Linked DNA regions of Danio rerio. The protein of the gene in region 1 purifies or fractionates together with the protein of each later gene. This does not show direct contact. Links are inferred from orthologs where the notes say so. Each region holds a gene or a part of one and is shown on either strand. Other genes may lie near its edges. The genes, in order: spast and nup107.

Region 1 (3,831 bases):
CAGACAATTCCTTTGTCTTCAAGCTTGGTTTGTGATTTGACATGCACTGTCAACCCTGGGACCTTATATAGACAGGTGTATACCTTTTCAAATCATGTCCAATCAACAGAATTTACCACAGGTGAACTCCAGTTAAGCTGCTGAAACATCTGAAGAATGATCAGTGGAAACAAAATGTACCTGAGCTCAATTTAGAGCTTCACAGCAAAGGCTGTCAATACTTATGTAAATGCCATGTGATTTTTCAGGTTTTTTATTTTAATAAACAGGTAAAAACTGAAACCTGTACGCCGATCTGATCGAAGCCATGTGATCCTTATGAATAATAATATGGTATTATTCAGATCACTCCCAAGCAAAGCACCATTACATTTTTGAAACCTTTTAAAACAGAAGTTACAAATCAAAGCCCTGTTTTCTGAAATCACATGACCATGCCGATTTGATACGCACCATGAGACCAATTTGATTTGAAACAGTTCGAAAAGATTCATAAAGCTTTGAAAGCTACATGAAGCAGTGTTTCGAAATCAGCCATCACCAAATATGCCAATCTTCTCTAGAGAAATAAATCACATTAGTCAACTGTATGTGGTCTCTATGCAACATCTGATGAATACTCACATATTTGGAGGTGAGAGTGGCAGCGCTGATGTTGAAGAAAGTAGCATTCGATTCCATTGCGACGGCTTTCGCCTATAAGGAAATTGAGAAGTTCAATTATTGTTCTGAGCTATGGCATACAAATATACACAAATGTACAAACTATATATTATTGGAGTTTTACCAGCATGGTTTTCCCATTACCAGGAGGGCCGAAGAGCAGGAGTCCTCTAGCTGGAGCCCGGAGACCAGTAAACAACTGAGGAGATCCACATAAAAGTCAATAAAAACCTTTTCACTCAATGTTCCTCGCTGATGGAACAATCTTCCCATTCCCATAGGGACTCCTGATTCATTAGTATCATTCAAACAACAACTAAAAACCCCACCACACCACATGACATCCTCAAAACATTATGCAATTCTGAGCGTGCCTCACACAGGTGAGGGGCTTGACAAACCACCTGTAGAAAACACACCCTTTCATCTCTCTGACACTTTAACAAACAATTGCACCAGTTTTGCACAAGACACTTTCTTATGACCACACATCTTAAAAAACAAAACAAAAAAACACTACATTTATGAAGTGAGCTTTGCACTGGTGAGTGGGCTTGACAAACCACCTGTAAAAACACACTTTGCTCTCTCTTTAAAACAAAAAACACTCCCCCTTTCTAACTCTAGCACTTAATTCTCTGAGAACTAACAATTATTTGTATAACTAGCACTTGTTGATTTGTATTGCCTCGACCTGTTGAATCACTGAATGCCTCCTCAATTGCAAGTCGCTTTAGACAAAAGTGTCTGCTAAATGACTAAATGGCTAAATGACGTAAAATTATAAATGCAACAATGCCAGTAATCCCAGTTTTGTAGAACATGCTTAATTGGTTCAACACTGTGGATAATCCCTCATATTGGGTTTAAAGTGGTCATTTTGTAAATTTTATCCATCACAAATGAATATATCTGAATACAGAATGAGCATAATCCAACAGTTGCCTGTCCTACAGATGCTCAAAGAGTTTGGAGCAACTTGAGGGTGTGTAAATGAAGACAGATTTTTCATTTTGGATGAATTATCCCTGTAAATCAGATTTGTTGGAAAGGGGCTCAGATCTTTAATAACTCCAGCAGCTCGAGGCTGTACAGATGTTGAGAGATGTGAAAACAGACCTCTGGACGTAGGGCAGGCAGGATGACGATTTCCTGCAGCGCCTGCTTGGCCAAATCCTGTCCTGCTATATCATCAAACCTCACCACAGACCCGCTGAAACACACACACACACACACACAACAACACAAAACATCAGCTTCAACGTGAAAACTCTTAATTTTTTTCCACCACATAATTTTGTGATATTTGTCACATGATCCAACAGAAACTAACATTATTATCACGGTTTGTCAAAGAGTATTTATTTGCTTGTTATTTTTAGGGGAAAAACTACTATTAGAAAATTTGGGGTAAAAAATATTAGTAAAAATATTAAGCAGTTAACTTAATACATAAAATAAATGTTTGGAATATGCACCCAAACATTGCTAATTAAAATAATTTTATATTTAAATACATTATTCTAGAAGAAAGCAGTTTAAAATCAATATTATAAAGGATTATTTTAATTTTGCACGGAAAAAGAAATATACAATACATAAACATGACTTTATGTAGAAGAAACGACTAATATTTTTTTATTTTAATATACTTAACATTTAAAGTAATCAACTATAGCACTAAAACAATAATGCATTGTAATAAACTGCAATATGCACCTAAACCTAAATATTGATTATACAAATCAATACTTGAATCTGTATTAAAACATAGCAAGATTCAACACTTAAATATTAATGTTTCTAACTCTACCTGTCCACGATCTCGTTGAGGATGAGGCTTGCCAGTTTGCTGTCCACATTTTTGAAGTTCTTCATGTCTCTTTTCCTTTGAGGTGACGCAGTGGCAGTGGTACTGGCTTTAACATTATTTTTGCCTTTGACTGTGGGCCCCTAAAAAAACAAAACACAATAACACAGTTCACACTGAGCTCCCTGTATAGACAGAATGTGAAGTCGGACCCTGTGAGACAAACCTTCTGATTGTTTTGAGGGCCGGTCCTGCTGCTCTGAGCTGCTGAGGGAGTGCAGTTCAGACCTGATGCATTCGGGGTAGATTTGGGAGGATTTTTGGGCCGCAGAGAAGTTTGATTTGTGATTGTGAGAGTGTCCTTCTTCTTGGAGACTGCTCCACTGGCTGGAGCTACAAAAAAACACATTAAACATTCAAAGACATGTTCATAGACGATATAATTTTTTTTGGTAATCTGCATTGGTTACTTAAAAAAACAAAAACAATGAACTTTTATAGAAGTGCTACTTCTATAAAATAGAAGTGCTGATATTAAATATATTTATGGTTATCTGTAACAGTCAATAAAAAAATATGATGTAAATTCATAGAAATGTCACTAGAATAGGGGTTGACTGATTATCGGTGCCGATATTGAACATATTTATGGTTATATCTATCTGTCAATTTAAAAACATAATGTCCTTTCATAGGAATGTCATTATAGAATAGGGGTTGACTGATTATCGGTGCCGATTTTAAACATATTTATGGTTATATCTATCTGTCAATTTAAAAACATAATGTACTTTCCTAGGAATGTCATTATAGAATAGGGGTTGACTGATTATCGGTGCCGATTTTAAACATATTTATGGTTATATCTATCTGTCAATTTAAAAACATAATGTACTTTCCTAGGAATGTCATTATAGAATAGGAATTGACTGATTATCGGTGCCGATATTAAACATATTTATGGTTATATCTACTTGTCAATTTAAAAACATAATGTACTTTCATAGGAATGTCATAATAGAATAGGGGTTGGCTGATTATTGGTGCCGATTTTAAACATATTTATGTTTATCTGTATCATCAATTTAAAAATCAGATGTACACTCATAAAAATGTTACCCTAGAATAGCTGTGTTGAGCAATTATCAGTGCTGATATAGTTATCTGTATTGGTCAATGAAAAAACCATGATGTAAGTTCATAGAATTGTCACTCTAGGATAGAGGTTCACTGATTATCGGTGCCGATATTCAACATTTTTATGGTAATCTGTATTGGTCAATTTAAAAACCTGATGTACATAGAAATGTTACTCTAGAAAAGGGGTTGACCAATATTAAATGTACTTATGGTTATCT
Region 2 (4,309 bases), on another chromosome or scaffold:
AATGTTGTCCATAGATGCTGGCTAAACGTTGAATTTTGGTCATTTGACATCACGACTTAAATCCAACCCATGTGTGCCTGCTGAGATGATGTCAAGCAAAGTGTGTAATATAATTTTGTCAAAATAAAATATGGGTGAAATAGTGTCCCATTGGCATTAAGCATACTGATATTTGTGTAACAATTAAACAAAGTTCTTTTTCTGACCAGTGCTTATTAAACTTTATAAAATAATTAGTGATTGTACTAAATTATGTGTTTTAAATTGAGAAGAACATTTATGGAAAACAATTATATATTGGAATTAATAAGTTTTCTTTCTTTGTCATTAAAATCCATTACAATCTTATATCCATTCTGAAATTCTTCGAAATTTCAATATCTTGACAATAGAGCGGCCCACTTTGCAAACTCACAATTATTTTTGTCTGATGCATTTTCATTATGAGATGAAACATTAAGATGCATGTATTTTCAGGTTTTAGATCACGAAGAGAAGCTTCGAAGCATTACAGTAAGTTCATCTTATACAACCTCAAGCATGTATAAAATAAGCAATACTTTGGCAAACACTAGATTTAGAAGGACAACTGTTGATTTTGTGTTGTTATTCTTACCCACATGGCAAACATTCTCTGGCCCACACAATCAGCTTTTGCCTGGCCCACATGCTGCAGTGAAATGCGGTGCACAACGGGACAAAGTCTGGCCAAATATGGACCATTTGGGCCAAGTCTCAGCCAAGTTAACAGCTTATAGCTGGGCCTGAACTGGGCCACATATCTTGGTATGTCACGACTGCAGTAAAATTGATAAACTCATGTTACGTTATCTCCGTTCATCCTTCTATGTATCGAATTATTATGAGCAATAACCTGACATTAACGTAGACGTTAATAACTACGTGACATTTGTACGGAAAATCCTTCAAACATCCCCCGAATACCACTCATGAGACGTGACATTTTAATTTATTGTACAAATTAAAAAATAATCCCTTACACGTCGCGTGCGTTTAATAAAGCAATATATACGTTTTGAATTGGCTAAGGCTACAAATATGCTCGAAAAGTCTTATATTATTACAGGATAATTAGGAATAAATGTTATCCCAAAATCGCATACATTTAAAATGATTATAGAACAAATAAGATATTTTGATTTGCATGAAATTTTTCCTGTATCCAGTAGATGGCAGTGCCTGACAGGCTTTAGTGGTGCAGTAATCGTTCAGCTACTCCCTTAGAGGGCAGTGTGATTCACACAAAGACATGAACGGCACAGATGAAGAAATAACCTCAGAAGTGAAGGCGCTCAAACCGTGTGCTAGCAGCTTTGGCTAGCAGATAGGAACATATTGACAATATGGAATGGTAAAGATTACATTTTATTATTGTTTTGGTTGTTTACGAATGGCGTTGGATTATTTTGGTTGCTATATAGCCTTTCTGCCATACCCGGATGTAGTTACTGTATAGAGAACCGCTCCACATGTCAGTTGAATAGTTTGACTATAAAAACACATGACAGAAAAGAGCATATTTTATTTTTTATCACTTATATTGTGTTTCATTTTTTAAATTAATTAGAACATAATGCTATTATAGCTTAAATGCACCGTTTTAGGCCACATAAGAGTACTCATTTGTTAGCGCTCTTTGTTCTGGCAGTTTTTAGGTTAGATTATATTGAACTTCATTGTCATTACACATGTACAAGACATTATATAGGTTAGGTCTAACAAGGAGTGCAACAGGAGCAAGTGGAGGATTTAGGTATAAGTTATAAGTGGAATTATAGAAAACTATTGGTAATATTTGCAAACAGATGTACTATGAACATTATATACAGATACTTGGATAATCGTTGGCTACTAATATGATTTGCCAATTCAGAATAATATAATTTCTGAAATGATATTATTAGGAAGAATATAAAACCAACTTTACCTCTATAAAACCCAAAAATTCCTCACCTCGAGTCATTCTTTATACAAGTATTTATTTGTTTATTTTTTTATTTATTTTTTTATTTTGTTTGGTTGTTTTTTATTTTTGTTAATAATGGGTGGTAAAAAATATTAAGGCCAGGAAAGTTGTTCATCCAGCCTAACACTGTTCATTTTTTCTTCTGCAGCACTAAAGATGTTATGATGTGTAGGATGTAAAATGTGTTTATTCTTGTGCAGGAGTCAGACTTGGTTGAGTCCAGTGGTTCGGGACGCTGAGGTGACCCGTGCGGCCCGCAGAAAGAGTTCTCACAAAAAAGTTGCTTGTATCCTTTTAAGATTACAAATAACACTATCTGTATCTCCATGATCCTCACTAAAAAAATTGTTATAAGCATGTAGGAAGGATGTTATTATCCCTTTACTCTTGAGTTCAGTCCCGTTGGCACAGGATGACTCTCCTGGCACCAGCACGACCCCTGCTCGACCTCTCCTGCGCCAAACACCTGGACCTCGCCTTAAACAGACATGTAAGTAAACACATACTGCACACGTACACTATGAACTATAAAGACAGAATTATTAGCCCTCCTGTGAAATTGGTGTTCTTTTTCATATATTTCCCAAATGATTTTTAACAGCAAGAACATTTTGCACAGTATTTCCTATAATTTTTTTATTTTTATTTTGCGGAAAGCATTATTTCTTTTAGTTTTTCTGAAATATAAAAATAAAAAACTTTAAAATCTGCTGAGGTCGATATTATTAGCCCCCCTTTAGTTTTGTTATCAGTTGGGTGACCGCTGTACAAACAACTGTTGTCCAATGACTTGCTTAATTTACCAAAATTGTCTAGGTAAACTAATTAACCTAGTTTAAACCTCACTATTAAGTTGCACTTTAAAATAGCTGGGAAAATATGATGTACTGTCATCATGGCAAAGACAAAATAATTTAATTATTAGAAATTAATTATTAAATCTGTTTTGTTTTTAAATGTGTTGGGGAAAAAATCTAGTTTCTGTTAAACAGCACTTTGAGAAATAATTCAAGTTTCACAAGAGGGATAATAACTTCAACTGCACTGTGCTCTTGGGAAAAAATAGCAGTGAGCTTCAAATTGGAAGTAAATAAGATGTGATCTATAATCCAAAATGAATATTACTGCATGCAAGACATAGTCAAACTATTGTAATTTGATTCGGTCTAAAAAAACATTTTAATCTTATTTTCTAAATTAAATGATCACAAATTAGATATATGCAGTACACTATATAGGCAAGGCAAGGCAAGTTTATTTATATAGCACATTTCATACACAATGGCAATTCAAAGTGCTTTACATAAACACATATACAGTACATCAAAATGTGTACCTGCCTTTTTAAGGGTGTAACTAAAAAAAAACAGATACAGACCATTTAAATAAAAGAAATAGAAAATAAACAAATGATACTCTCTAAAGTTTTATAGTCAGCTGAATGATAAAAAGTTTATGCATTGGTATTTTTAGCTTAAATTTTTTATAATGCTGCGAGTCACATTTATTTATCTTTGTATCTAATCTAAAAGTTTGAAAATGTTTATTCTGGTTAAGTTTAAGTGTATTTACTCTTATATTTTGTGAAGAGCATGCTGTATTTATATGCTTTTTAAAAACTATTATTACAGTCACCCCAAGAAGTGCCCTTAGGAATCCCGATGTGTCTGCCATCCTCGGGACCTCAGGAAGCAGAACCCCTCGCTTCGTAAACACACCTCGTACCAAAGGCGGCCTGAGCATGGTGAGTGACCTCTGTTTGTACAAACATAACATCCTTTATCCCTCTGTACAGTCTATGTACAGATCAAGATGAAATGATTATCCCTCCTGTTAGATTTGTATTATTTTTTTCAATTATTTCCCAAGTGATGTTTAATAGAGACATTTTTTCCAACACATTTTAAACAGTAGTTTTAATCGTAAATATTTTATAACTAATTTATTTGGTCTTTGCTGCGATGACATTACATCATACTTGACTAGTTCTTTTGTGAGATACTAGTAATCAGAGTAATTTCAATCAGAGTCCAATTTCAAGGCAATGCAATTTTATAAATCATTTTCAAGGTGGCTAATAATATTGACCTAAGGTTTTCTTCCAGTCAAACTAAAGTAAACCAGAAAAATATATATATAATAGAAAAAATCTCTATTAAACATCTCTTGGGAAATATAAAAAAAAAATAAAGGAGGGCTAATAATTTAGCCTTTGACTGCAAATTTAGTTGGTGTTAGTAACATTTTTGTGTGCTGCTGTTGTTTGTTTGCTCTCCAGAACTTGGATGACAGTGACTGGACGAACAGTCTTTACCCATCTCC

The links.
Region 2: the proteins of spast (region 1) and nup107 purify together in Homo sapiens (affinity purification with mass spectrometry; 3 studies listed by BioGRID and IntAct, counting the BioPlex papers as one, with this or other methods). This does not show direct contact. The link is inferred for Danio rerio from reciprocal best matches to the Homo sapiens genes SPAST and NUP107.

Annotation. Positions count from the first base shown.
Region 1 is NC_133176.1:54,347,589-54,351,419, forward strand, and holds part of spast (spastin), read right to left. Parts: exon of another isoform or gene 3,448-3,831; intron 3,240-3,447; exon of another isoform or gene 2,937-3,239; coding exon of another isoform or gene 2,867-2,936; coding exon 2,700-2,866; intron 2,617-2,699; coding exon 2,477-2,616; intron 1,877-2,476; coding exon 1,783-1,876; intron 863-1,782; coding exon 788-862; intron 697-787; coding exon 625-696; intron 1-624. UniProt on the Homo sapiens protein: ATP-dependent microtubule severing protein that specifically recognizes and cuts microtubules that are polyglutamylated.
Region 2 is NC_133179.1:23,346,897-23,351,205, reverse strand, and holds the start of nup107 (nuclear pore complex protein Nup107), read left to right. Parts: upstream 1-1,276; 5' UTR 1,277-1,364; coding exon 1,365-1,372; intron 1,373-2,187; coding exon 2,188-2,273; intron 2,274-2,384; coding exon 2,385-2,477; intron 2,478-3,618; coding exon 3,619-3,731; intron 3,732-4,265; coding exon 4,266-4,309. UniProt on the Homo sapiens protein: Plays a role in the nuclear pore complex (NPC) assembly and/or maintenance. Required for the assembly of peripheral proteins into the NPC. May anchor NUP62 to the NPC. Involved in nephrogenesis.